7 separate regions of the Mus musculus genome follow, and all the other regions are reported to be linked to region 1. The links are microRNA targets in miRTarBase. Many come from high-throughput screens and were not tested one by one. Region 1 holds a microRNA gene; each other region holds the end of a gene's coding sequence. Distances are from middle to middle.

The links. Region 1 holds the annotated microRNA mmu-miR-10a-5p (UACCCUGUAGAUCCGAAUUUGUG, at 1,065-1,087, opposite strand). A microRNA usually pairs through its seed, bases 2 to 8, with sites in the 3' UTR of a target mRNA and lowers its output. Matches are read on the target gene's strand: a 7mer-m8 pairs with bases 2 to 8, a 7mer-A1 pairs with bases 2 to 7 and ends in A, and an 8mer does both.
Region 2: the mRNA of Tfam is a reported target of mmu-miR-10a-5p. Seed matches in the 3' UTR shown: 8mer at 2,126-2,133 and 7mer-m8 at 1,072-1,078.
Region 3: miRTarBase lists Ocln as a target of mmu-miR-10a-5p. Seed matches in the 3' UTR shown: 7mer-m8 at 1,157-1,163 and 7mer-m8 at 2,363-2,369.
Region 4: miRTarBase lists Tpgs2 as a target of mmu-miR-10a-5p. Seed matches in the 3' UTR shown: 7mer-m8 at 2,609-2,615.
Region 5: the mRNA of Ttc23 is a reported target of mmu-miR-10a-5p. The part of its 3' UTR that is shown has no 7-base or 8-base seed match.
Region 6: miRTarBase lists Slc2a4 as a target of mmu-miR-10a-5p. Seed matches in the 3' UTR shown: 7mer-m8 at 770-776 and 7mer-m8 at 1,732-1,738.
Region 7: miRTarBase lists Irak2 as a target of mmu-miR-10a-5p. Seed matches in the 3' UTR shown: 7mer-m8 at 2,274-2,280.

Annotation. Positions count from the first base shown.
Region 1 is chr11:96,314,195-96,318,272 of GRCm38, reverse strand. It overlaps Mir10a (microRNA 10a), which reads right to left and starts at 1,108; the gene lies at 999-1,108. It overlaps Hoxb4 (homeobox B4), which reads right to left and starts at 6. Exons shown (of 2, transcript NM_010459.7): 1 at 1-6. It also overlaps a transcript of Hoxb3 not described here.
Region 2 is chr10:71,224,849-71,228,926 of GRCm38, forward strand. It overlaps Tfam (transcription factor A, mitochondrial), which reads right to left. Exons shown (of 7, transcript NM_009360.4): 7 at 629-3,851. The coding sequence ends at 3,711. Among named protein-coding and RNA genes, the nearest start is that of Tfam, 11 kb to the right of the region's middle.
Region 3 is chr13:100,495,447-100,499,524 of GRCm38, reverse strand. It overlaps Ocln (occludin), which reads left to right. Exons shown (of 9, transcript NM_001360536.1): 9 at 610-3,021. The coding sequence ends at 711. Among named protein-coding and RNA genes, the nearest start is that of Gtf2h2, 4.9 kb to the right of the region's middle.
Region 4 is chr18:25,135,298-25,139,297 of GRCm38, forward strand. Tpgs2 (tubulin polyglutamylase complex subunit 2) reads right to left here. Exons shown (of 7, transcript NM_001004361.2): 7 at 740-3,842. The coding sequence ends at 3,609. Among named protein-coding and RNA genes, the nearest start is that of Tpgs2, 32 kb to the right of the region's middle.
Region 5 is chr7:67,725,606-67,729,683 of GRCm38, reverse strand. It overlaps Ttc23 (tetratricopeptide repeat domain 23), which reads right to left. Exons shown (of 11, transcript NM_001168475.1): 11 at 3,108-3,656. The coding sequence ends at 3,542. Among named protein-coding and RNA genes, the nearest start is that of Gm34140, 10 kb to the right of the region's middle.
Region 6 is chr11:69,940,052-69,944,129 of GRCm38, reverse strand. Slc2a4 (solute carrier family 2 (facilitated glucose transporter), member 4) reads left to right here. Exons shown (of 11, transcript NM_009204.2): 10 at 1-71; 11 at 558-1,844. The coding sequence ends at 761. It overlaps Ybx2 (Y box protein 2), which reads right to left. Exons shown (of 9, transcript NM_016875.3): 5 at 3,972-4,078; 6 at 3,699-3,802; 7 at 3,363-3,540; 8 at 3,000-3,084; 9 at 2,527-2,904. The coding sequence ends at 3,034. Among named protein-coding and RNA genes, the nearest start is that of Slc2a4, 6.1 kb to the left of the region's middle.
Region 7 is chr6:113,693,007-113,697,084 of GRCm38, reverse strand. It overlaps Irak2 (interleukin-1 receptor-associated kinase 2), which reads right to left. Exons shown (of 13, transcript NM_172161.4): 13 at 2,059-3,417. The coding sequence ends at 3,305. It overlaps Tatdn2 (TatD DNase domain containing 2), which reads right to left and starts at 35. Exons shown (of 8, transcript NM_001347356.1): 1 at 1-35.

The DNA.
Region 1 (4,078 bases):
GGAGCTCACGCACTAGGTGTCTGTGTGGGGTTTTAAGTGGTTGGCCGACCAGGGAGCGCCTTCTTGAAATGGGTACCCACTAGGTCATAGGGGCGCTGAGCTTGGGGCTTCTCAGTGCAGCCAGATGGGGAGGGGTAGGAGGTGAGTGAGGAGGCGTCGGGAGCTAGAAGGCGGGTGCGCAGAGGGACTTGTCAGAGATGAATGGAACCGCGAGCAGATCGATAGGAAATTCACGCACTAATTCGGGGAGACTTCGCCTTCCAAATCGCATTTAGCTGCACTATGAGCATCGGCTGTGTCCGTCAGTCTGTCCTCCTCAACACTCCCTCCCTTTAACCCACAAGGCCCAAGGTCAGAGGAACGGCTGGACTCCCTCCACTAAAGACAGAAGATACAATGAAACCAAACCAAACCCGCAAGTTCCTAAAACCAATTGAATAGTAATTTGCTAATTCCAGATTCGTCGAAGCAATGCTAACCAAGAGTTCTAATTGCCGCTAAAGCCGCCGCCTCTGTCAGTGTGGCAGAAAGAAATTTCACAACCTTGAATACTAAGTAAAGGAGCCCTAGCTGTGACGCCCCCACCAACATCACACGCACAAGAACACCCATGGCAACCTTATGTTTTCAGGGCATCTTGTCTTGAATTCAACGAAACAGCAATCTTCGCATCCTTTTAAAAAGCAAATTTCCTTTGCCTTTGCACACTGCAGCCTTCAGCAATCTTTTTTTCCTCCTCATGATTTCCAATAAAGCCCCCTGGACCCAGAATAAGAATAGGTAGGTTGGGGCTTAAAGATAAATTTTAAAACACCAGTAACATTAATCTCTTGAGTGAACAAGGACCCAAGCTTCCAGGGGTGTGCATGGGGACACCTCAGGTAGATGAGATTTCTCCCTCATTGGTTGAGGGAGGAAAAGAAAAGGAGTCTTCTTGAAGGCAGTCACTGGATTGTCCTCATTTAGAAAATAATCTATTTTTCTTCTGGGAAAGAATATGAGCGGAGTGTTTATGTCAACTACATATTCCCCTAGATACGAATTTGTGACCACAAAATTCCTTACACAAATTCGGATCTACAGGGTATATACAGAAGACAGACAGGTCTTCTTGGCCCAGGAAATTTCCAGTTCTCTTACTTTCCGTGCGTTCTTCTTTTGGGTGTGATCTGAATGTTTTCATTTTTATTTCGTTTTGTTTTAATTTTGAGATCTGGGAGCAGAAAAGTCACTGTGGGTCCGTTCTTGGGATTACAAGGGGTTTCAACTTTCTATTCAAAAAATAAAATAAGATTTTTTAAAAAGGCAGCTGTTGTGCAAAGGGACTCGAACCTCGTGGCTGCCGCGCGACTTTCGGTGGCGCATGAATTATTAGATGTAAACATTAGCTAAGCACAAAAGAAGGAAGGGTCATCCCGAGGCTGCCTCGAAGTCAGAATCAGGCCTTTCTGGGTGCCCTCGGCCCCTCCCCTCCCCCCATGACTTTTTTTTTTTTAAGAAAAAATACAAAACCCCAAATAGGTTCCTCCCTTGCCCCCACAGCCTTTAGTTTGTGATCAAACACATATATAGATATTTTCCAAAGCAAAGGGAGGAGGGAGAGGTGTCTGGGTGTGAAGGGGGTGTAATAAAAGTCCTTTTGGAAAAAGTGAATGCTAAAAAGAGAGAGAAAAACAGCTGTGAGGAAAAATGCTGGGAGACCAAACAGATGGCCCCCCCCCCCATATTTAATGACGGGCAATTCCGTTTACAACCTGAGAAGAAGATCAAAGGCAGTTCATTTCCGAATGAAGGGCAATGAGGAACCATAAAAGTTGCAGCCAGATGATGTGCAGGCCCCTCCCAACCTCACATATCCCCCCCATACCTCCTGGAGGCTGGAATAAGGGGACACCCCCCTAGAGGTGTGAGGAGGACCCCCCCTACCCACACCTTATCCCCAGGCAAGGATCCTCTGTCTAGAGGCTCACTAACTGGGCCCATCCACCTGCTTGGGTTGCTGGCTGTGTGGCCAAAATGGGATTCTGGAGTTTTTGGGTGAACTTCCTGAAGCTCCCACTAACATTTGACTTTTCTAAACTGAAAAAATGAGAAATTGAGGATCTGGAGTTTAAACTGGGAGAGCTGTGACCAGGTGAGGGCAAGTGTGTCCAGCAGAGTCTTTCTCACTATCACCACCGCTATAACACCCTAGGCTTGGGGGATACTTCTGCCCTTACTGAGTAAATTACAACACAGTCAATTTCATGAACATACACAAACAAGCCAAACCCACGCATGCACACACCAGGAACCCTTGCAAATGGGCAGGAGAGCTCCCACCTGCAGGCAACTGGGTCCAGAGACCTCAGTCTTTGTTGTTGTTGTTGTTGTTGTTGTTGCTGCTGCTGCTGTTATTGTTAAACCTCATAGATCTAGGCATGGCAATGTTGTCCTCTGGGTTTGTTTTCTAACCCCAATGCCCTCCTATAGGCCAGACTCATACTTAACTGGAGAGAGAGTCAGAGAAAATACATTGTAGTTTTGATCTTCATCAAAGACGGGGTTCAATTTAGTCACCCATAGACAAAGTGTGCTGCTTTGACCCAAGCATCAAGCAAGAACAGTCCTCTCAAAAGGTATTTAGAAGTACCACGACCCACTCCAATGTCCAGGCCCCTCCCCTATCCCATATCTCCTGTCCTGCTCTTGAATACTGGTCTAACTCTGTTTCAGAGAGCAGCTAGTCTACATTTTGCTGATCTATGCTTTAACAAGGGATGTGGCCCAGGTTTCCTGAGCTCCAAGGGAGAGGAATAGGGATAGAGAGATGCAAAGCTGGGTATGGTTGAACCTAGGGCCGGAGCACTGAGATTTTCGCTTTTGCGAATAGGAGAGCCACCACCTGCCCTCCCACCAAGGCGCAGCTGCAACCCCCATCCACACTCCCTCCCTGTGTAGACGCCAGGGGCGGAAGACAGGATTTATCTGCAACTCCAGGACAGGTTTCATTGCAGCTACACGCAGCCTCACCTCTCTATGTCTAGAATACCAACAACAATAACCATAACAATGAAAACACGCAGAGCCAGGGGCTTGGGCACGCTCTCTGCCCTATCTCTAGTGCTCCGGATCCTTTAGAGGCCACTTGGCTGCCTTCTCCTGGCAGCCACAGGTTGCTAGTGTGACCCCTCGCTGCCCAGCCCAGCCCTTCTCCGCCATCACAGGCCTACCCCCGGCGGCACAGAAAAATCATCCACCTTTTATGGACGAGTTGGAAGGGAAACAGAGAGGAACAGGAACCCGAGGGCCAACCGGAGGTCAGTCTCTAGCGGGTCCGGGCACCCCAAGCGCGTTGAGCATAGCAAGGGCCTGAGCCGGCAAGAGTACTCACCCAGCCGCTCCCCGCCTGCTCCAAGCCGACCGGCCGTGGCCCGCTGAGCAACAGCGGAGCTCGCTCCTGTCCACTATTGTGTATCCGGAAAACCGAACCGCGGCTGCGGGCAGTGGAACCACATGCCCCCTCGGAGGCCGGAAAAGGACTTTTTTTTTTTTTTTTTTGGTGTGTTTTTGTTTTTGAAGAGCAAGTTTTCGTATTAATCTCATACTTTGGCAGTCTTTGTTAAACAGCAGGCGCGTCACGAGGTTCTCGAACATTTTAATAATTTTTAGACGCCGTGACCTGCGGTTCACCCCTCTCCGGGCCTCCCCCACGAGCAGGCAGTTAGTATAATATGCTCACGCAGTTCGCTCGGTCATATTGAATTTTGCGCAGGTCATTACTTGGGAGAAAAACGACAGAGCAGGATTTGATTCAGTTTACCCTCTCCAGTTCTACTTTTCTCTGTTCCCCCACCCAACCCCCAACCCCCAAAAGTCTCCATTCCAATGCGATTCAAGCTGACCCGCCTTTGCTTTGATTTTTCCATCATTCCAATATTTTTGCCAGCTCCCGTGCCCAGCGCTGAGAGCAAGACCGTGTGACCCCGTGGAGGGAATCCTTCGGAGGCCCGAACACTAAACAACTATGCTGGCACTGGCACCTGAAGGGCAGAGAGTGTGTCACTGGGCATCTAAACCCTAGAAAGCAGGCCTCAGT
Region 2 (4,078 bases), not on the chromosome of region 1:
AGGGCTTCAAGGATGTTACGCAGGCTCCTTATCCTAGCGCACGTTGTACAAATTTCAGATGTTAGAAACTTAAAATTTTACAGACTGCAGAGATGGCTCATCATTTAAGTGGGCTGGCTGTTCTTGTAGAGAAGTCGGGTTCAGTTCCTAGGCCCCTCATGTAACTGCAGATACAAGAAATCTGACACCCTCACACAGGAATACATGCAGGCAAAACACCAATGCCCAAGAAATAAAAATAAATTTTTAAAAATTACGTAAGAGATTTTGGGGTAAAACCCAAATCCAAAAATTAAATTCGTTTGTACACACACACACACACACACACACACACACACACCCTGAAGGTCACCTCACATATTTCCAGCTGTTTCCACTTCCTATGACCTGTCACAAAGGCTTTCCTTGCACTGCCAATGCTTAAGGGTTAAGATTAGGAACATTCTGGATCAAAGGATGCTGGGGATTCACCAACTTTTACCATTTTCTATCCAGAAGGAATGTGCAAATACATCTTTTACCATTTGATCCTCTTGGACTTCATGTTTGTATCAGAAACCATTATAGTTTCTAGTGAGTCTGATTTAAATGTTAAAAAAAAAAAAAAACAGGTTTCAAATTCTTGTTTAGCATTTAATTTAAATAATGCAGTTTCTTGGTCAGCATTCCTAACTGTGCAAAAGAATGGTTTTATAATGAATTACTATCAGTGGTTAAATAACGAAAATATTTGATTTGTGAATGATAAACAATTGATGGTTACCAGTTGTGCATAATTTTACCTTTTGCTTAGGAAGTTTTACAAATGAGTAATACATTCATTTTATCTCTTAAGCTCAATTACAAAAAAAGAAATATGTTCTTTACACTTCAAAACATACAGGCACTGTTTTAGCATTTGCAAACTTGTCAGTGACAGGCTGGTGGCAAATTCGGAAGAGGAGGGAGGAAGCCTGATGGTGGTGGTGAGGCAAGCTCTTAATCTCAGCACTTAATCTGAGGTAGGTCTCCGAGTCTACAGCCAGCTGGTCTACAAAGTGAGTTACAGGACAGGCAGGGCAACGCAGAGAAACCCTGTCTCGAAAAACAAACAAACAAACAAACAAACAAACAAAAACAAATAAACAAAACCTGGGAGAAAGGAGGGTTGCTATCAGAGGAAGAAAATTCTTATAATATGGCCAAACAGAACTGATGGGCACTATGGCTCCGTCTGCATTAAAGCTGTGGTTTCAGCGCCCCCTGGTGGTCCAGTGCGTGCGGGTGAACCCAGGAAGGCTTTCTAGCTACTGTACATCCGTATGCTAACACCAGCTTTAAATTCAGAGGTTCACACTTAGACCAACTAGGGTTTGTTGTTTTTAAGGATACTGGAAAACAGGGCAGCCCAATTGCAGTTACATGACAATAAGTAGAAACAGCACTGAGCCCTTGTCAGCTTGTGCAGCTTCACCGCATGCCTTCAGCTCCTCCCAACACCTCCCCGATCCTCTGGCAACTGCTTTTGCTTAAAAGAGACTCTGTCGTTAGAAAACAGGACATGGAAAGCAGATTACAATGTTATCAGTAAGCTTGTTTTACAAACAAGGAAAACCAAACTGAACCAAGTACCATGAGAAGGCTTCCGCCCAGGCCTCTACCTTTCCCATTCCCTTCCCAGACTGAGCTCCGAGTCCTTGAACACTCTGCAGGGTGCCTGGAAAGCTAGGAGCTAAGTAGTTACATCTTAGAGGTCCGGGCATCCCTGTATCGCTGTAGTGCCTGCTGCTCCTGAGTTGCTCTGAAGCACATGGTCAATTCTCTGAGTCACCATTTTCTCCATTCTAAGGACAGCTTGGAGTTAGTTCCTTTCCAGAAACCAGGGGCGTGTAGAGCTCACGTCTCTCCTGGATTTGCACTTTGGAAAGACAGACTGCACTGGTTCACACTGGCCTCCTTCCACCACCTTCAAACTATGGCTTAAACCCATGCCATCCAACAACCCAGAATTCCAATCCACGGGAAAAATTATATTTTCTTAAATTCATCTCTAAAATTCTGATTATCTCTTCTGGGGAGAGTTGCAGTTCTGGGATTTGGATCCAAGGCCTTGTACATTCTAGGCAAGTTTTCTACCCAGCTCAAATACCCTGTTTTACATATATAACTCTTACATCTCTCCTCCATGCGTTCTTCTGTTCCTACCTTGTCAAGTTCAGTGACTGCAAACTTACTTTCCCAAAATGTACAATCTCTAAGCCTCCTCAATACAAAACATACATGAGTATGAACTCTGTTGTCCTGTGTCTCAGAGATCTGCTCAGTGGTGTGGTGGTTGAAGCCATGAGTTCTCTAAGGGCTTATGGGATTTGCCAGCTCAAAGTGGGGAAGACACTTTTTCCTGTGCAACAGTAAAGATTAGGAGGGTCTCGCTCCACACAGTGGTCTTCTGTACTGTGCTACACCAGGATTCCAGGTTAAAGAATATTTTCCTTGCTAACACAGAGAACAGTTAGGCTTATAGGGACCCAGTGATGACCCCAAGATAGGGTGACAATATCACAGAAACATCAAGGACATCTGAGGAAAAGCCTTGCATGGCCAGTGGCCGTGAGACACCATGGTGGCAAACTGTCTGCGAAGGGCCATCCCTGTATGCTGTGGTTTCCCAGTGTAGTCTCTGGAGCACAGAGCACCCACACACAACAAACCCAAGAAAGCATGTGGCTGTGTTCCAAGAAATTCTATTCACAAACACTAAAGATCATATTAATTTTCACACTGATACTTTCCTTTTTAAAAACCTATTTAGAACATAAATCCATTTCTTGATGAGTAGGCCCTGAAGAGCAGTTAGTGAGCTGGACCTGGCTGGCTCACCACAGTTGGCTTTCTCCTGCATAGGCCTTTAGCTGTCATGGATAAGCTTTCAGATTTCTGACTTTGCAGACTTGTTTTTCACATTTTCTCATTTAAAAATTTATACCACACAAGCTCTATGAATACTCTCAAATGAAAAGTAATTTCTAAAGTCCCTACCTAAAATTGAAAAAAAAAAAATCTGTTAACCAAATGGTTCATCTTAAAATACATAATTTCAGAAACATGTTTGGAAAATTAGAGTTTTTATTCTATGCAAGAAAAACCTATGCATAGACTTGGTACATAATTTCTTAATTTGAGAAAGATGTGTAAATCTCTCTGTTACTACTATAAAATGCTATCAGGACATCAGCAATCGCTTATTATATACAAACATCAACTTACACATGATTTATGTCTAGGAATCATTTCATCTAGGAAAGCCTGGCAGCTTCTTTGAAAATGCAGTTATCCACAGCTCTGCCACAGCTGGGAGAGCAGGTCCGGCCTGGGACCCAAGGGCCACACCCATATGTAACGGTCATCAGTGTAAAAACATCACAAAACCACCACACAACTGTCACCAGTGTGAAAGTCACTTCACAGTCTATCTAGCCCATCAAATGCAGAATGATTCACCACTGCATGCAGATGCATGGACAGTCTCCGTTCCAGTTCTTAAGCAAAAGGCAGAACTCAGCATCATCTTCTGTCAAGGCTCAAAGTATTAACAGAAAGTCCATGGCTACAGAAAAATGATCTGAATGTCAAAGGTTAACCACCTTTATCCGTTCTAGTTTGACACTTTAAGGCTTTGAGACCTAACTGGTTTCTTGGGCCTAATCCCAATGACAACTCCGTCTTCCATCTTAATGCTCAGAGATGTCTCCGGATCGTTTCACACTTCGACGGATGAGATCACTTCGTCCAACTTCAGCCATCTGCTCTTCCCAAGACTTCATTTCATTGTCGTAACGAATCCTATCATCTTTAGCAAGCTGAATATATGCCTGAGAAAGAACATGACAATGCTTTACTTAGAAAACAGCAATCCATCTCTGGAATGGAATCTACAGGGACATGATTAGTGTCATTCTCCATGCACCCAGGGGAATACAGAAATCATTTTTATATGTTAGGTGAGACAAGGTTGACAGAAAGTATTCTCCAAGGACTGATGGGCTGTTAGTTTCAGGACTTGGGAGAGAGGAGTGAGGGACAGGTGGGACAAGCCATG
Region 3 (4,078 bases), not on the chromosome of region 1:
TTTCTCTAAAACACACTTTAGAAAAAAGGAAGAGGCTGGGGAGATGGCTCAGAGGTTAAGAACACTGGCTGCTCTTCCAGTAAGTCTGGAGTTCAATTCCCAGCAACCACATGATGGCTCAAAAACATCTGTAATAGAAACCGATGCCCTCTTCTGGTGTGTCTGAAGAGAGCTACCGTGTACTTATATACATAAAATAAATAAATCATTCCTTTTTTTTTTTTAAAGGAAAATCAGAAACAAAAACCCAGTATGTTAAAACAAAACAAAACAAAACAAAACACCCAAACAAAAAGCCCACAAACAATACAAAACAAAAAACCATGGAGTTTTGCATTGGGTTCTGCCATGAGTGTAGTTAATATATCCAGTGACACTTCTAGAGTTTTATTTCATTTTTAAATTTTTTTGTTTTTTCGAGACAGGGTTTCTCTGTAAAGACCTGGTTGTCCTGGAACTCACTCTGTAGACCAGGCTGGCATCGAACTCAGAAATCCACCTGCCTCTGCCTCCCGAGTGCTGGGATTAAAGGCGTGTGCCACCACTGCCCAGCTAGAGTCTCATTCTTTAGTGTGTTGGCATTTATGTGATTTACTCTCTCTGTCTCAGTCTGCAGATTATAAAAGTAAGAGGAATTACTGCAAGCAGTTGAAGAGCAAATTATCGCACATCAAGAGGATGGTGGGAGATTATGACAGACGGAAACCTTAGAGAGATGCCAGTTGCGGGAGAAGGGAGAGGTGCATCTGCCTGCACGATGTCTCTGCAATTCTCTCCAGAGGCAAACTGACTTTGGACTCTAATCTGGGAAGTTAAAACTTTGTGATCATTACAAAGTTTCCGTGGCTTTAATTCCATCAGTTTCCTATCTCCAGTATTGAAGCATTTTATAAATGGCTTTTGATAATTGACTGGGCTGAACACTCCAATTAAGGATTTTACAGTTTCAACATTGATTCTTGTATTAAGAATTAAAATGTTGCTTGATATTTTAAATGTCAAGAAAGGTCCTGGTGTGAGCTGTGATGTGTGTTGAGCTTTGATGTGAAGGTTCACACGCCAGGCAGTGTGTTCCTCCAGGTAGACCGTCTAATCAATCTTTGCAGCAGCCCTCAGGTGACTGTTATTTAGAATCAGGTTGTTTTTGGTTTTCCAGACAGGGTTTCTCTGTGTAGCCCTGGCTGACCTAGAACTTACGCTGTAGACCAGGCTGGCCTTGAACTCACACAGCTTCTCTGAGTGCTGGTTCAGGAGTTAACGTCGTGGACCGGTATCATCACTTTTCCTGCGGTGACTTCTCCAAACTGAAACTGCTAAGGCAGTTTTGGCTAAGTCTGTTTTATGACTGCAAATGACAGCATTCCTGCCTTTGTATTTCAGGGGAAATACGATACATTATATCGGCCACGTTCCCCACCACTGTTTTTCTTATATTGACTTTTAACAAATGAATAGGATTATTTTTGGCTTTACATTTTTTCCTAACACTTAAGATCATATAAAATTAACAAGTATGTGAAATTTAAGAATTGTAAATATATATTTACGTTTGAAAGATGATTTTAAATCCAGGGTTAAAGTGCTTTTTATCTTGTATAGTTTACATGCTTTTTTTTTTTTTTTTTGATAACCCACTAGACCTTTCCATTGTATCAGAGTATCCAATTACATTTACAATTATGACTTGAATTGTATTTCACAGGAATGCTCAAGTTTTGTACATATTTTATAAGGTATTAAACCTGATGTTCTCTTTCTATAATGTGCTCATTTGATGTCATTAGTACTGTTCTATTCAGTTGTGCAAAGCTATACTAAAGTTTCAGTGTGTGAACTACCTTGGGTGCTGTGCTAGCAGGTGATTGCCCAGTCCTTGGGCAGTGAACAAAACTCTGACTAGAAATGGGATAATGTTCATAGAACAGCATGATACTTAAACAGTGTCTGTAAATCCCAGGATGTTCTTTATAAATTAAAATTTTTGTTAATAGTATAAAATTAGCTGATAGTGCTTCATAGACCACATTGACATCCAGCCCAATTTGGTCTGTTTTAGCTGAAAATGTTTTATATACCTTTCAGACATGGCAGTACATATTCTTGTTTATACAATTTTTGAATTATTTTCCAATGATAAAAATTTAAATAATGTTTTTGTATAATACTGGGTCAATTTTTTTTTCAAATTAAAGAAAAATTTTATTTTCTACATGCTGAACATAGTACAAAAAAGTATTTTCGTCCCTTTTGGATTGACATCGAGTAGGAAAGACTGTTTGGAGCTCCTTAACTGGTCATTATGTTAATTAACGTCTCCCTCTTGGAAATCATTGTTCTTTTCTGTTGTTTTGTTTTGATTTAGACAGGGTTTCACTAGGTAGCTCAAGATGGCAGACTTCAAATTTGCAGTCCTCCTGCCTCCCACTCCCCGGGTGGCAGGTAGATTAGAGGTTCTCCTCCAGGCCTGGCTCCTCCGTAGTTTATGAAGCCAATTTGCTAGTGTCCTCACAAAGCAGGTCTGTTCTGTTAGATGAAGAAAATGAAGTGGCAGGAATTATAAAACTGTGCCATAAAATTAGATGTTGGAAGAGTAAAAGAAATAATTCTTTTCCAACGTGGTGCTACCACTGCAGGCCTGAAGCCAGTACCAGGGTGTGTCCATCGGTCTGTTCAGGCAGTTTCTTAATGTAAAATAGGGGCTAGATTAAACCTTAGAGGCGTTTTACATTCTGACCTATGGTTTTTGGTTTTCATACCTACGTTCTGTTAGTAAAACTATTCTTTACATGCTTTTTTTTTCAATAGTTATGTGAAAACATAACCCTTCTTATGAAGTTCCCTGCATTAAATGATGCGCACGTGTGTGTGTTATTGTAAGTTGGTAAGATCAAGGTTTCCATTTTGAAAAGCTGAAAACATTAGAATAAACATACATGAACTAACCCCTCCCCCAGGAAAGGCAATGATGTTTTGTTGTGTGTGCTTTATATTTTTGAAATAAAGTCTAGTATTTACAGTAAATACTAGTCCACTGTTTGCAGTTAACATTGTATATACAGATATACAGGATACCTCGTTCAGTTCTCATAACAGCCTCTTAGCATGGGACTGTTGCTTGTTCTCATTTTATGGATAAGGAAAGTAGTGCTCTGGTATGTTATCTGCCTCAGCCACATACTAGTGAGTTTAGATGGAGGTGCGATCTTGATCCTTTGGACGAGGAAATCTTTATTTTTCCATCCTAGACTGACTGCTAAGTGAAACATTGTGTAGTGTAGGGCACTGACTGCTAAGTGATGCACTGTGTCATGTAGGGTACTGAGTGCTAAGTGATACACTGTGTGATGTAGGGCACTGACTGCTAAGTGATGCACTGTGTCATGTAGGGTACTGAGTGCTAAGTGATACACTGTGTGATGTAGGGCACTGACTGCTAAGTGATGCACTGTGTCATGTAGGGTACTGAGTGCTAAGTTACACCCTGTGTGATGTAGGGCACTGACTGCTAAGTGATGCACTGGGTGATGTAGAGTACTGAGTGCTAAGTGATACACTGTGTCATGTAGGGTACTGACTGCTAAGTGATATACTGTGTCATGTAGGGTTGCTCTGTCTAGTCTAAGTATCTTGTTTTAGTTTTGAATGTATTTGAAGTACTTTATATTAATATGAAAAGCTTCATCTGAAATCTGAAGAATCTGTAAAGACCTGAAAGAGTCAAGAATGACCAGAGCAGAAGGCTGATTCCCCTTGGTGTATGGGAATTCTTCACTTGCCAACACTTCTTGGGTATACCAGCAGTTCAGTACAGTAGTGTTGGGATAGCAGCAGCAGTGGCATGACCTAGCAGGGATGGCCAGGCCTGAGATGAATTGGTACAAGTCAGCAGGAGGGACCAGGAAGGACATTCAGAAGAAGTTCTGGGCTGTGCCTCTCTCGGGAAGTGTGGAGATAAACAAGCATCGCACAGCGGGCTGTACCAGCAAGCCAAGCCCCACCTCTGTCATTGTCTGTTGAGTCCTATTTATACTCCCTGCAAACATCACATGTTCTCCATGGGTCTGGCCTCAGCACATGA
Region 4 (4,000 bases), not on the chromosome of region 1:
TCTTTCCTTTCCCCCTTTTTTTCTCTTCCCTAGGGTGGGTGGTAAAAGACTAAAGATAGTGTATGTAAGAATTTGGTAAAATCAAATATAATTTCTCCAAACACCACTGACAATTTAAAATCAGAGAAATAGCTGAGTTTCAGTTTATTTGGGAATAGCAGGATGTTGTGATCCTGAGTATGTGTGATTACACTACAGTACACTGCTAGGTGCATATGGAAGCTATGCAGAGGGAAGTTTTTAAAGACAAAAGAAATATGTAGGCTGCAGGGCCTTACTTTAGGGGGTGCTATCAGCTCATTAGTGGACAATGTCTGACAGGTGGATATCTTTGTTCAAGTGGCTAGTTATCTTCATATGACTACCTACTGTCCCTGTGGGCTAGTTGTCCTGGTGTGACCTAGGTAGCAAGCTGAAGCTGTGATGTGTGTGTGTGTGTGTGTGTGTGTGTGTGTGTGTGTGCAGAAATCAGAAGAGGCGTAAGATCCCCTGGAATAAAAAGTCCAGTCCTCTGTAAGAGAAGCCTAAGCCATCTCTCTAAGCCTTGTATTAGCAATTTTTAATTTTATGGCATTAAATTGCTCTCTAGGACCTTTGTGAATGTTAAAGAGCATAGTACCTTACCTGTGTCATTGCTAGTCTTTTAGGTCATTACCACTGACACTCTCTTGTGACTTTATCTTCCCGTAAGTGCTCGGAAGTGATGAAAGGCAAACATTATTTTGTTGAAGATACCTGATTTTGTTTTGAACCTTAAGGATTTATTTTAACAAGTAACTTACTCAAAAGGAATTGGGGGTGAAGGAGAATGCGCATGCACGGGGCTGGGGAAGGCTGGAGACCTGGGTTTTATTTTCTTCAAGGTTCATTGTTGAACACAATGTAGAGAAGATGAGCAGGGGTACAAACGGCAGCTTAGTTTCCCAGCTCTAAAGTGGCTTATAGATCCGTTATGGCCTTCAAAACAATCATTTATATCCACAGTCCCTTGAAATGGTGAAGTAGCAAACACTACTGTAATACATTGACTCAACATCTCTGGGGCCTCCGGTTCTAATCTCTGAAATGTACAATTCCTTTGTAAGGATTCCTTGCAGGTGTGAGAAGATCATCCTGTAGTGTCCGACATGCCTCAAATCCAATCATAAGTGTCCTTATAAAGGACAGTCAGAAGAGATTTGGAGAAAGAGAAGACGAAGTGAAAGCAACAGGACTGAAGTGATATGAACCCAAACAACAATCTGCAGGAGGAAGCAGGGACAGACTCTATAGGAGCCTCCCAAGTCCTGGCCCAGTGACAACTAGATTTTGGCTCTATAAAACTGACATTGAACTTCTGGCCTGCAGAAATACACACGGGTAAACTTATGTGTATTAAGCCATCAGGTCCTGAAAACACAGTAGAACAAACTATGCACTAAGGGCCAGGTTTGTAGGTAGCTCTGTGACAGGGCTGGGTGGTCAGTTGGGAAAATGAGAGCCTTGATCCTTCTCCTCAGGAGGTCTAACAGAAGCTGTGGGAGGCTGTCATCCAATTAAATTTCAGTTATCCCCCATTCTTTAGCTATTTCTAGTTTTGATTAGAAATCATTTTATCAGAGAGGTAACTACACCACAAAAGTACCAAATTGCTTCAGGAATGAAATGTCTTTGCGATTTTATAAGAAAGCTAATGGCTTTGAAATAGACAGTAAAGATAGGTGTTAAAATAATCAATTTTGTCAAAAAATCATCTGGTAAAGCAATTGGTTCTGTTGGTTAGGTAATTCATGGGGAGAAAATGGACTTTCTGAATGCTATTTTAAAAGCTGTTGCTTACTGAAAGCATCTCCATGTGTACTCCATTTGCATTATTTAATAGTTTTATAGCCCTTCCATAAATTTTCATTTTACATCTGAAGAAACAGCATCAATGGTGTTGAAGAACTTTTCCTAGATACAGGGTAAGAAGTTTCACATCCCACCATGTCTCACGAGTTACTTTTTGGTCTTTTAGAGCCTTATCAAGACAGTTATTGGTGGGATATCCAGTTAGGTAGTATCTGGGTACAACATAGTTTCTGGGTGCAGAAAAGACCAGTGGCATTCATGGCTTCATGTGTAACCTATTTCATTTTGATGGTTTTGTGACACAGACCGTAAGATGAGTGAAAGATATCCAGACTCTAAAATAAGGCAATTATTGTCTTCTCAATTTTTAAAGTTAAACATTTTCACAACTTTACTCATTCATTCTAATTTATTGCCCTAAAATATGACACATTTATTTGGGTTAATGCAGAATTGATTAGGATGGCTTTCTGGAGAAGCACAAAAAAATCACTGCTCACCTAGGGGAGTTGGAGCTTCACTGAGCTTTGAGTAGAGGCAGACTAGAGCTGAACCTCACAAGGAAAGGACAGGTATAAAGGCACAAGTGAGAACCCAACTGGTGTCTTGCAAGCAAAAAATGAACGACTTAAGAGATCACAGCTGCTAGCAGGAAGGTCATAATTAGCAACCGTAGGGTCACATTACAAAGGAAGGACAGGATAACTAACTCTATGCACTAAGTCATTTAGCAGCCACAACTCCATGAGTTCCAGGACAGCCAGGACTACACAGAAAAACCCTGTTTCAAAAAAAAAAAAACAAAAAAAAAAAAACAAAAAAGTTATACGTGCTTTACCCAATTACAAAGAAACTTTGTGGTTTGAAACCACTGAGATCTTAAGCTGAAAGTTTCAAACTCAGAAGTACTGTTAAATTGACTAAAAATCCAATGTTACGCATGATACTGTACATCTGTAATTAAAACGTTAGTGACAGGGTGTGTGTGTGTGTGTCAGGAAGCTATATAGGGTGTGTGAGCTATAGGTCAGCCTAAACTATATAGTGAGACCTTGTCTTAAAAAGAAAACCCTGACACCTGGAATTTTTCTTGGAAATTCTTATTTTGCAGATCAGAACTGGAATCCAATCATCTTATCCCCACATGATACCAGTGACTTTGGTGCACAATTCTAAGTCTAGGGATCACACCTTTAAGCATTCCTGGTCTAGGTTGTAAAGAACACAAGACTGTCTTTGAAAATGTTTTCTCAAAACATAAAGCGTATGAAACTAAGGCATTACGTTATTGTATCTGAAGGACAGTATGAACGTGTTCACATGCAATGTTGTCCAAAACACTTCTGTGACAAAAACCTTCCCCTTTCTGTGCTGTCCAATATGGACTCTACCATCAGGTGCATAGCTGAAGTGTGGTGAATGCAACTGAAGGTGTGCAATTTTCATTAACTGAGATGGTCACATAACTAGTCGATACTGATGCTTCATGAGTCAAACCATGGGTTTATTTGGGAGGGTGACCTCTCTAATTACTGCTAAGAAGTTAAGGATTGGGTACAGACATAAGAAAGCTCAGGTACATCTGAAAGTCTTCGTTGGCTTTGGAGATGAGGTTGTCACAACCTACAGAGGAAGGAACTCCTGAGGAGAATTCAGTGTGATCGTCCCAGCCCCTAGCTAATGACAGTGGAAACAAAGGCCTAAGGCTTTGGTCTCTCAGGAGAATGCCGCTGCCACAGGGCCATCTGTGTCTGGATATTACTGAGGTGATAGAATGCTTATTTTCGGACAGGATTTCCAGAGCCTGTGGTAGGCTTAGAGGTAGGAGGAGGTAAGGGCCCAGGCCCTTTCTGACCACTGGCAGGTGGTACAGGCCCTTTCTTTTTTGGGATTAAAATCTTGTTCTTGCTCTTGAACACTTTGCTGGGGTCTAGCTTGTTCACAAAGTTGTCGGACTCTTCTGTGAGCAGGCTTGTGTTGTAGGTGATGGGTTTGTACATACTGAACCATTGCTGTAAGGCACAAATAGAGTCTCAGTTGGAAGGAGAAATGGGGGAGAGCAGGCGACAGTACAGACATTACAAATTAACTATCACTAACCTACATTTTTTTTCAGTGTCAACTGGTAAAGTACATGCGATTATTTCAAAATTGAAAATGCTGTAAAATA
Region 5 (4,078 bases), not on the chromosome of region 1:
AGCGTACCACTCTTTATGCTGGTCAGCCTATCCTTCTTGGGGCAGGAGCTAACATTTAAAGAGGAGTTTATTACTTGTGATTCTAAACTATATTCCCAGCAGCTCGAGTGTCGTCTGGCTGTGCTGCTGGGTAGCTTTGGCAATGCAGGTTTATATCTGAGGTCTGGAGGTCGGAGAATACAAACCACGGATGCTCACAGATTTAGTTTTGATAGGCTTGCAGACAGCCACTTTACTGCTGTCTTCGTGGAGTAGAGAGAGATGTTTTCTCTTGGTTCTCTTCTTTATAAGGACATTGATCCCACCAGCCAGTGCTCTGCACCCCTGATGCTGCCTTGTGATCTTAGCATCCTTCAGAGAATCTCTCTCTACATGTCGTTGGGGGCTAAGGACTCAGACATAAGACTTCAGGGCCAAGGAAGCCTCTGGCAGCCTCTGTTTTTAAGATTTGTTTCCAACTAGCCATGTTGAAACACACTTCTTCAGTTAGACGGCATACTCTTCAGTGACCACAAATAATTGTGTACCTTGCTGCCACCCCACAGCCCTGAGTCTGAGAGAAGAGGCATAAGCAAAGATGGTTTGCCTGCTGAGCTGCCGCACTCCTGAGGAGACAGAGGGCCCTGCCAACCACCCTATCATGTTTATTTTCTCCTTCAGTTCTTGAAGAGTCACTATGAACAAGTGGGCGTGACACAAAAGGTTTATACTGCAGTCCTGTTGCCCTCTTAGCAATGGCCTGTGGCCTCATTGGCGTGAGCCATGGAATAAGAGAAAGAGAGCTAAGCTTACTGCTTAGCTTTGTCACCCTTGCCCACCTGTGGCATCCCCTGAGAAGAATGAAGGCCACTCTGGACATGGCAGTAGAGGGTATGCAAGCTCTAGTAGCAGTTGTCCTTCCTGCCTAGGATAGCGGCCACGAGAGACAAGGAAGTATCGAGCCAGTGTCCTCCTCCCAAGCCACTCCACGAGGGCCTCAGCACCATCATCCGGTGATGCATCGGAGTGCAAGCATTTGTTGGCACTTCTGGAGGTCAAGCTGAGGGTCACCTCTTAGTTACTTTTTTTTTCATGGTTGTGATCAAATACTTGACAAGAAACAAGGAAGAAGGGCTGGTTCTGGCTTACAGTTCGAGGGGATACAGCCCATCATGGCAGTGAGGGCAGATCAGCCGTAATCTGAGGTGGTTGGCCACACTGCAAACACAGTCAGGAAGCAAAGTGTAGGCGGGATATGGGGTGGGGTGATGAAACCTCAAGGCCCACCCCCCACTGATCCACTTCCTCTAGGCCCAACCTATCCTGGGACAAAATATTCAAACATACAACTGTATAGGGGGCATTTCACAATCAAACCACAGCGTTTTGCCCCTGTCTCCAGAGGCCCATGGCCATTTCATAATGCAACATGTATTCAGTCCAAGGAGGAAATCATACTTCCAACATCAGCAGCACAGAGTTTTCCCACTCCATAACAAGGGAAGGTCATACTAAAGTAAGATCAAAACCCAGCAGGGCAAATAAATACCAAACCCTTCAGCTCTACATACCCGAGGCTCACAGTAGAAGCATTTGGGCTCTGAAGAGCTTGGGTATACCTGCTGCTACAGTTCTGCAGCCTGAAGCTCATGGTCTCTTATAGGACAGCATGAGTCTGCTGCAGAGTCCTTCAGCTGACGCCTCCTGTGTGGTCCTGGTGTCTCCAGCATCCTGAGGTCTCCATCACAGCTCAGGCGTCACTGTTACAGCACACAATGGCCTCAGTGCCTTTCAGAGCCTTGGTGCCAACTTCTGTGACCCACCTCCCCCACTTGAGTTTCGCATATTTGCACAATAATGTCGTCATGTCCCACTGCCACCTTGCAATACAATCTGGCCCACTTGGACCACAGTCACTCAGGTCTCTATTTCCAGGTATTCATTTCTAAGCAGGGCCCCCTACATTCTCAGTTCAGGCTCTCTTAACAACCTTCAAATACATTTGCTTTTTCCAGATTTGGAGCCTTTAGTGGGTGGGGTTCTGCCCTCAGGACAGCTTTCCTAGTGTCCCAGTAAAGAACACTAGATTTCTTTTTAAAGGGGCAGCTAATCACTTTAACTTCCAGGCTGCTTTTGTACCGACCCTATCTCTAATTTTAGGCCCATTCCTTTCCCCACCAGATGCTGCACCCTCCATCCCTCTGTTCCACTTGTAGCTCTCTGGATAAGAACAGTGAGCAACTCCACCACACCTGACTGCAATTGTGTCTTAGAGGCTCACCCATCAAACACAGTAGTCCACTACATGACCATGAGGTCTCAAGTACATATACTTTAGGTATATGAGGTCTTGGCACATGCGCAGAATGCAGACAGATTCCTTGTTGTAATGTAGGACAATGTAGCCCAGGTCTTAACAGAGTCCTTATTCTCCTCTAGTGTCAGGATTTGTCATAACATCCTGGTCATCTAGACACCCCCACCCCTAGGATGGTCTTCTGAGATCTGCTTTCAGCTTCTGAGGGGCTCCCCTGCCCATACTTCTACACTCTTCCATATTATTCCTGCAGATCAATTCCAAACACCGGAGACCTGCAGTCAGCCGGACCATGGCTGTGGGTCTATTCCAGTGCCTGTTTTCCATGCTATTCTTTTTATCCTTACAATGAGAAAAATAATGCTGGTTGCTCAAACAGCCAATAAGAAGCAAAGGGTTGATTTTGGCTTTTAGATGGAAGGCAGGTAGGGGTGTGTGTGTGCATATTTACACACACACACACACACACACACACACACACACACACACACACACACACACAATGGTGAGGAAGGCAGGTGGCAGAGGCACCACCAGCTAGTCCCACTGAGTCTGCCATCAGGAAGCAGAGAGTGCATAGAAAATGGGACTAAGGCTAAGAAACCTCAGAGCCCACCTCCAGTGACACAGTTCATCCAACTGGACTCCTGCCTCAAGGCCTCTCAGCAATGGGAACCAAGTGTTCAAATATACGAGCCTATGAGAGACATTTCGCATTTAAACCATAGCAGGCTCCATGGAGTCCAGGCAAGCGCTCTGTCCCGGGGCAGCATTGCCAGCTCCAGTCTTCATTTCAAACACACAAACTGCTGCTAGCACAAGCATCTCTTTATTGGTAGTTTCTTCTCAGTTACTATTACTTTCATACGAGGGAGGCTTTGTGCAGGGTCTCGCTGCCCCAGATGTGGCTCTGGATGGAGCAGGAGCCCTGCCTGTCACCAGGTGAGTCTCCTTTCCTGTCAAGAAGCTCCAACTTGGGAAGAGTGTTTCAGCCACGGCAGAGATGACAGAGGAGAGTCTCCTTGGTGAAAGAAGATAACCAAGAGCACCATATCACCCCAAAGGGCATTCACAATTGGGGTGTGGAAGATTCATGGTACTGCCATTGCATTCTGAAGTAAACAGCCTTAAAAACCTGCAGTGGCTGCTGAACTTCACCTTCGAGCTGGAGAGAGGTTTGTTCAGCATCCTACAAGCAATGCCAAGTCTTTCTTGGAGCTTTCTTTGGGGCGGCACATGGGCGCATCAGTCTGCTACACTGTGCCTGCCCTTCCCTGGCATGCCGTACTGGGGGGCACTGGTGCAGAATGCTACTTTGGCTTTCACCGATTGCCTTGACTTCCCGGCAGCCTCGGAGATCCTGTAGACGGAAGGGAGACCGGTGAGCGAGGGCCTTTGCTGTTGGGAAGAAGCCTCAGGAGGGGATGCAGAGGAGACCCATGGCCCAAGAACATCAAACACAAGGCGTGCTTCTCCTCTCTTAATGCCTTGCAGCCATGCTCACCGAGCTGAGGCAAATCAGGTCTTAGGTAGGTCATCCGTGGAATGAGAGTGGAAAATACTGTCAAGTCCTGACGGGAAGCGTTGTTGACCCACTTACGCTGCCCTAAAAGGGTGCCTCCAGTGAAAGCCACTGCTGTACTTTCCTGACCTGGACTTGATCCTCAGTCCATATCCTCTCAGGGAATACCCACTCTGAAATGGCGGCCTTCACTAGGTAGTGTTGGGCTTTCTGCCAGTCTTCAAGGTACAGTTGTGACACTGACACCCACCCACAAGGCA
Region 6 (4,078 bases), 26 Mb from region 1:
CCATGGCTGTCGCTGGTTTCTCCAACTGGACCTGTAACTTCATTGTCGGCATGGGTTTCCAGTATGTTGCGGTAGGTTCCCTACCCTTTGCCCAGTTTCCCACATCCGTGGCCAGAGGGAAGGCAAATCCTCCCGGCCCCCCCCCCCCAGTTCCCTCACTGTCTGGTCAGGGACTCCCAGCCATGTAGGTGGTCTCTGGAAGATAGGTCTGGTGGAACTACTTCACCACAATCAAGGGGGAGGCAGGCGGAAATAGATGGGTGGAAATAGGTGGAAATCCAGCAGCTTAGATTTAGAAGTCTTCTAAAAAATAAACCAGTGGTATAATTTAAACTTTCTATTAATGCTATAAGTGGTTTAGAAATCTACTCCAATTGTACACTTAGGAGAGCAAAGGGTAAAAAAGCTAAATGAGATTTTCAGTGAAAGCTTTCATTTCTGGTCATTGCCACTGCCTCTTAAGGGAGCAAACCTGCTCCTCACATAGCCCCAGTTTCCTTAGTCTTTGGTTCCTGGCTTCCCATCTCTGTCAACATTTCTTTCTCCAACTGTCCCAGGATGCTATGGGTCCTTACGTCTTCCTTCTATTTGCCGTCCTCCTGCTTGGCTTCTTCATCTTCACCTTCCTAAAAGTGCCTGAAACCAGAGGCCGGACGTTTGACCAGATCTCAGCTGCCTTCCGACGGACACCTTCCCTTTTAGAGCAGGAGGTGAAACCCAGTACAGAACTTGAATACTTAGGGCCAGATGAGAATGACTGAGGGGCAAAACAGGGTGGGAGAGCCACCCTCTCCACCCAGACTCCCTCCTTTCCTCTACAGCACTTTAGCCCTCTCTTCCCTGTTACCTCCAGGTTGAAGGAACAGCAGCCTGGGGAACTGGGAAGCTGAAGGGAGGGGTGGTCCATGTACCCCTCATTCCCCCTGTGTGATTCTTTTGGATTATTTATGTGTGTGGCTAGGCTGTGGCCACCTAGATGGGCTTTCTCCGTCCTGCCTTCCTCCTGCCCCTACCCAGACTCAGCTCTAGACTACTTTCCTCCCCTTTCGAGAAGGGGTCTGCAGGAGGGTGGGGTGGCCCTGAATTCATCAGGATAAACAGCAGGGGTGGGTGTGTGAGCGAGTGCTTTCCTCCCACAAACTGGCACTTCCACTGAACTCTTGCCACACAGGCTCTGGGTGAAGGGGGTTGTCTTGACCCCTCCAGGGCAAAGGATACACCCTCCCAAAATCTAGCCCTGCCTCCCCACAGGCTCCACCCTCCCGGGCAAAGGAACACAATAGTACATACCTGACAGGGCAAGGACGGTTAGAGCGCATCAGTCTCCATTTGGGGCCCTAGGTTGTTCCCAGGGCTGCAAAGCGTAGGTACCAACACTTTCTTGTTCCCCTCCAGGAAGGGTGCTAAACCCGAAAGCTTCTGACCAACTAAGGGCGGGAGGGGATTTGAAAGGCTGCCTATAAACACTGGTTGGGAGGGAGCCTTTGGTATTTTTGTATGTTTTGAAGAACGGATAGGGAGCAGAAACCCAAGGGCTGCTGTATTAAATGTGTATATAGAGATTCGTCCATAAAGTCACTGTTTGAAGATGAGTGTCCTGTGCTGGAGGAACTGGAGGGTGTGCAAAAAGAAAATGCCTCACTCACCCTTTGCACTTCATCCTTCCTGGGCTCAGGGCACCGAGGCCTCTAGATTCTGTCACCTTTTTTTTAGGGGGGGGCGGGTTTCGAGACAGGGTTTCTCTGTCCTGGAACTCACTTTGTAGACCAGGCTGGCCTTGAACTCAAGAAATCCGCCTGCCTCTGCCTCCCGATTGCTGGGATTAAAGGTGTGCGTGTGCCACCATGCCCAGCTGTCACTTATTTACATCCACTTTCATTGCCCTCCTCCAAAAACTAGGGTTTCACTGCATAGCCCAGGCTGCCTTGTAGCAAACCTCTTGCCTCAGCCTTCCAGAGAGCTGGTTTGCAGGCCTGAACCCAAATGCTCTACTTTTTAAAACAATTTGTTTTCTGGAAACAGAAACGTGGCTCAGGATGACCTGGAATTAGGAATCCTGTCTCAGCTCTCTGAGCGCTGGCACATCTTTCTACTTTGATTTTTATCCACTGCTTAAAGATTTACTTATTTTATGTGAGTACACTGTCACCGTCTTCAGACACACCAGAAGAGGGCATCAGATTCTGTTATAGATGGTTGTGAGCCACCATGTGGTTGCTGGGAATTAAACTCAGGACCTCTAGAAGAGCAGTCGGTGCTCTTAACCACTGATCTATCTCTCCAGCCCTTATCCACTGCCTAAATGAACAGTAAGTGGTTTGTAAACTGTATTTACAAGTGCCTGGGCACTGCTGAGACTTCACCCCCAGTAACAGATCCAGTTACTCTTGGTGAAAGGGTTCATGTCACAACTGAATAGCTAGGGGTACTGGAGCAAGGAAGTACTAGCAGGCCCTGCCCACTGTTCGGGTCTCAGCCCCACCAGAGAGTCTTCATCCTCAAACAGAAGAGCCAGAGACCAGGACAACAAGAAAGCCTGCTTTTGTTTTTACTGGAGGCTCAGGTGGCACATGACAGTTCATAAAATGGCTTCAGAGGTGTTGGGGGGAGGTCGAAGGGAAACAAAAAATAAATGGGTGGGGAAGAAAAACAATCAGGAGGAGGTATGAGCTGGCTGGTTCCTTCTCAGCCTGACTAGGGAGGGAGGTGATGCCTCGGAACAATAAGGATGGATCCCTTCCTTCAACCCATGCTAGGGGAGAGGGAAAAAAAAGAGAAAAAAGCCAAAGGCTGGTGCTTTGGCCCTCCTGAGTCTCAAGGGAAAAGCCGATGTTTTGATGTCATGAATTATGGGAAAGTGGGGAGGGGGATGCTGGGTAGAGTCAGTTGGAAACTGGCAGATACCTAAGAGAAAGAGAGGGAGACCAATCATAAAGGGTCACTTGGCAGAATCCACCACCCCTCCCCCTCTCCGGCTCTTGGTGAGATGTAGCACTCACCAGATGGTAGCTCTGGGTGTCCTCTGAGTTGGAATCACTCCAGTATGGTGGTGGGGGGGTCCCCACTGTTGATAGGCGCGGAGGTCTGAAGAGCAGTGGTGAACTGAGACTTACTTGTTTACAGCCCCCTACTTCAACCTTTTCTTAACTTTCCTCTTCTCATCCCTTCCAACCAGTTCTCACACTTCACACCCCAAAGATGGGCATGGGGATGGGACATGCAAAGGCACCCTGGGCTTGACTTGCCTGCATAGGGGTTTCCTGGTGAGTAATGCCAGCCAGGGGTGGGCCAGGGAGGATGCCAGAGGGACAGGGACAAGGAAAGTAGAGGTGCAAAAGGACAGAAAGTACCAAGACCCTCACCTCTGCGGCTATAGGCTGCCGGGGGCCAGGGGGCTGCTGCCGACGCCGCTGGAAGTAGGGACGGTTTCGTGGACGCTGGGGCTCAGGCCGGGAGCCATCAGTGGGGCCTTGGCTGGGCTTGGTCTCTCCATCCCCACCTTCTGTGGTAGGCTGTTGGGGTGGCCTGGGGCGGAAAGGCCTAGAAAGAGAAACAAGCTGACAGGATCAGAGAATTGGGCAGACTCCCTTCCCAGGATTCCTTGGTTTGTCCCCATCTGTTCCAGGCTCTAGAACTTTTGTCATTTCACACAGGCCCAACACTGGACCCTGAAGGGGAAGACAAAACAACAGTCTTACCTTCGGTACCTGGGCCGGAATCTGGGTGGGGGCACCCGTTCATCTCCCTGCTGTTGATCACCCTCCAATGGTGCTGTCTCCTTGGGTTCTACCCCATCAGAGCCCTGGGAATACACAAAGGCCTAGGTGGGCTGTGGAACGCCTGATGTCTTTGGAGCTTCCTTGCTCTTCGTTCTACTTCCTGTGAGGACCACAGTCTCTGCCCTCACAACTCCCCAACTTCTTTCCATAATGTAAGAGAACTAGCCTCCCCGGCTGCAACTCTCCTCTCACCTCTATGGGCTGTTGCTGGTTGGGGGGCCGAGGGCCTCGCACAAACCGCCTTCGATAGAAGAAGGGTGGTGGGCGCCGTCGTCTAGGTCGCTGCCCCGAGTCCTCTG
Region 7 (4,078 bases), not on the chromosome of region 1:
GAGCCGGCGTCAGGGACGGCGCCGATTGCTCCAACGGGAGAGGGGCGTGACTTCGGGCAAGACGGAGCGCGCCTGTTGGTCCGACGTTCTGGGGCGTGCCCCTACGCCTCACGAAGCTCTGTGGTTGGTTGGGAGCGATATGTGGCGGAGCTTCTCACGTGGCCCTGGATCCGCGCGAAGGGCCTGCTGGGGACGCCCGGGAGCCGAAAATACCGATGGAGGGTAACTTGGCGGGCCTCTTGGTACCGGACGCGCGTGCCAAACATTGTCACTCACTCACCTACTCACCCATCCCCCCTCCCCCTTTTTTTTTTTTTTTTAAAAAAAACAACGCAGGAAACTGTGGCTCGATAAAAACCAAGCGACACACCCAGAAAGTGACGGAATTGGGGTTAGCAGGCACAAGCCATACACACACAAAAAACAGAACCAGGCCTGCCGGATAGACCTGTAAAACCAACTGCTCAGGAAGAAGAGGCAGGACGATTGACAAAGTCCAGCCTAGACGTTTTAGAACCTGACTACAACTAAAAAAATTTTAATAGCGGGGGGTGGGGAGAACAGAGAGGTGCCTGAAGCAGCCATAGTAGCTCACATTGGTAATTCCATTTGGGTCGCTGAGGCTGGGGAACTGCTGAGTTCGAAGCCAGTTTGGGATAGCTAATGAGTTCCGATCAACCTAGGCTTCCGAGTGAGATCAAAAGAAAAGAAAAAAAAAGAGAGAGAGAGAGAAAGAAAAGAAGAGATATAACCCCACATCAAGAGAGCCGTAGGACAGAGGATCCAGAGTTCAAGGTCACCTCCTAACTTCTTGAGACCCTGTTTCAAACCTTCCCACACCAACCCCAGAAAAGGTAATGATTGCAGCTCAATAGCAGAGCACTTACAGGAGAAGCAAGCTTTTGATCCTAATCACCAAATTACCCAGGTGTCACACAAGTCTGTAAGTAATCGCAGCCCTCTGGAGGTGTTGGAGGGGAGGGTCAGGAATTCCAGACCAGCCTGTGACACTTAAAATGCCCCCGCCCCCCAGAACCAAAACAGTAAAGAAAAGAGTTTGTCCTACTACTTCATTCCCAGACTGCTCTTGGCCAACAGCTGTGGTGGCAAGAACTAAAGGCTCTCCACACTCAGCTGGCCTTCACTTTTTTTTTTTTTTTTAATTACCCAATGCAGGAGCCAAACCCATGGAATAGCACCTCCCATACTCAGAGTCTTCTGTCTTCAGTTCATCCTCTCGGTAAACTCCCTCCTAGTCACAGCCAGAGCATATCTAACTCCTAGAGGGTTGTTAACCCAAGTTCACAGTGAAGGTTAACCATCCCAGAAGCCATCTCTATTTGTTTGTGGGGTTTTTCTTTTTTTTTTGGGGGGGGGGGTGTCGTTTTGTTGTTTTGGTTTGATTTGATTCTTTCAAGACAGGCTCTCTCTGTGAAATCTTGACTGTCCTGGAACTAGGTCTGCCAACCAGGCTGGTCTCAAACTCATAAAATTCTGCCTGCCTCTGCCTCCCAAGTGCTGGGATTAGAGACACGTGTGTGCTGCCACCACCACCTGGCAACCATCCCTATTTGTAACAGTAAAAATAAAAGCAACTTTAATATCCATGAAGGGTTATACAAGTGCCCCAAGCCCTGCAAAGGTGGCATTGCTGATAAAAACCCTCCCTAAAGTGACAATGTACTAAATCACTGGCCACAACCATGAAGTCTTAAGTTCAAATACCAGGACCCACATAAAAGCTGGCTGTACAGCAAGGGTATATACAATCTAAGCACTTCTACATCAACAGAGATGGGCCAGCTAGCCTTGTGTAACAGCAAACTAAAATACATACATACATACATACATACATACATACATACATACCTTGTGGAAGAAGGATTGAAAACCCAAGTCATCTCTTGAGCTCCATATGCACATGGTTGTGTGCACACCACATGCACATACATAAATATGCATACATACATTGTACAAACAATACATACAGAAATGAAAGCAAAAGCAAGAATCCTTGAGCCAAACATATTCGGTACACAAATTCACCCAGACACAAAATTATAAGACAGCTGCTAGATTACAAACATTTTTATTTTGTCACTATAATGGAATTCTTTTTTTAAATAGTGAATTAGAAATAGCTTTGTTAGCCGGGCATGGTGGCGCACGCCTTTAATCCCAGCACTCGGGAGGCAGAGGCAGGCGGATTTCTGAGTTCGAGGCCAGCCTGGTCTACAAAGTGAGGTCCCGGACAGCCAGGGCTATACAGAGAAACCCTGTCTCGAAAAAACAAAAAAAAAACAAAAAAAAAAAGAAAGAAATAGCTTTGTTTTACAAAACATGTTTGCAACATGACTTTTCAAAAATATATTCACTTCATAAACATTTTCTACATGGCAGAGCCATGAACTACATACCTTTTACTCCATTGAGAACACAGAACAGATACATTTTCAAAGTGCTTCTGCAGCCGCTGCACCCATCCTCCCAAGAGCTGAATAGAGCAGCTCTGTTCTTCCCCAGGGAGAACAGAGCAGGGTTATCTTACAAGGATACTGAGCTACCACCCACCAAGTGATTGACTTAACTAGCAGCAGAATCAAACATGAGACTGTTTCTCATGCTTCTTCACCTAGCTATAAATAACACACAACCTCTGAGTCTCCATTAAAATAAATATGGGCACAATGGGAGGTCGAAGGTGAAAAGCAGGCAGTTCCTAAATACCGGTGGCTTACAGGATCACCAACTGAAGAAGGAGAAAGCCTACGGAGTCCTTTGCCAACCGTCCTGCTTTTGCAGTCCTGAACTTGAGAACTTGCGGAGACACCGGCTGTAGGTCTTTTAAGAAGTGGGAATTTGCAGAAAGCTGTCTACAAATATGACTGACAGATGATAACTCTGGAAAACGCCACGGATGCTGCAGGATTGCTCTGTCCGTTGTGGAGAACTAAGAGGTTTGGGGGCAACAGCATCTCTTGGGGTGGTCAACAACGTGGGTTCCCCGGAACCACAAAAACCACCCAAATCCTTGGATCACATACAAGGTGTTCCACTTCACAGCCCTCTAACTAAGACGACTCAGAGAGGAGGAGTGCTTCCTGGATATGGTGTCTGTATAAGCTGAGGTCCCCTACCCCCACCCCCCTGCAACTCGACTCTGATGAAGCCATGTTTCCTTCTGTTCAGGCTGATGTTTGGGTTGTGTGGGTCTCAACAGACCTTGGGCAGCCAAAGACCTCTTCCCTGCCTGGACGTTTGTCTGTCCAGTTGAGAATAAGGGTCTTCAGCTGTGCGCTGGTCATCAGGGTCCAAAGAGCTCGCTGCTGTCCAGTCTCTCTTCTTTGTAGAGTACGATGTTCTCCATCAGTCTCCTTTTGGCTTCATTGATCTCAATTTTCCATGAAGTCTCTGTAGCTGATGTTCAGCAGAAAACAGAAAGAGAGTACCTTCAGCAAGTGTTGCCGTTAAAATTCTCTGAGTCAGACCTTATCAGAGTCTCATGCCAAGTTTGTGAAACAGGCCCAAATACAAGTAGCATGTCATAGCTTATGCCGTTGCAGGGAAGTCTGCACCCTCCCCCATAGACACTCTAACACTCCGGCTCCCCCAATCCCCACCACACATATACACCTTTTCCACAAAGAGGCTCCCATATTCCCACAGTCATGGGAGAAGTGTGGCCATCAACAATAATCATAGCTATTTCTGTTATGAAATATAATGCGTCAAGGGGGTACCCGGTGGACTCATGACAAAGCACACCCCTGAGAAGTTACACCAAGCAACAAATCTGGTATAAGGTGATTTATTTGGGGGAGGGGAGGGGAGTGAGGACCCAGAGAAGGGGTAGAAGCAGACGAGTAGAACGGGGGGGGGGGGGGAGAGACTGTCCAGAAACACATGGTAACAGAGAGAGAAAGGAGAAAGAGCTAGATAGTGGGCAATCCTTGTATACACAGCCCGCACCTGAAGCACCTGGCTGCAGTGGCACGTGAGGACTGTTGCTAGGTCCCTGGGAGGAGCCTGGTGGAATCACCTGTATGCTAACATCCCTCCTTTTTCGTTTCATTACAAA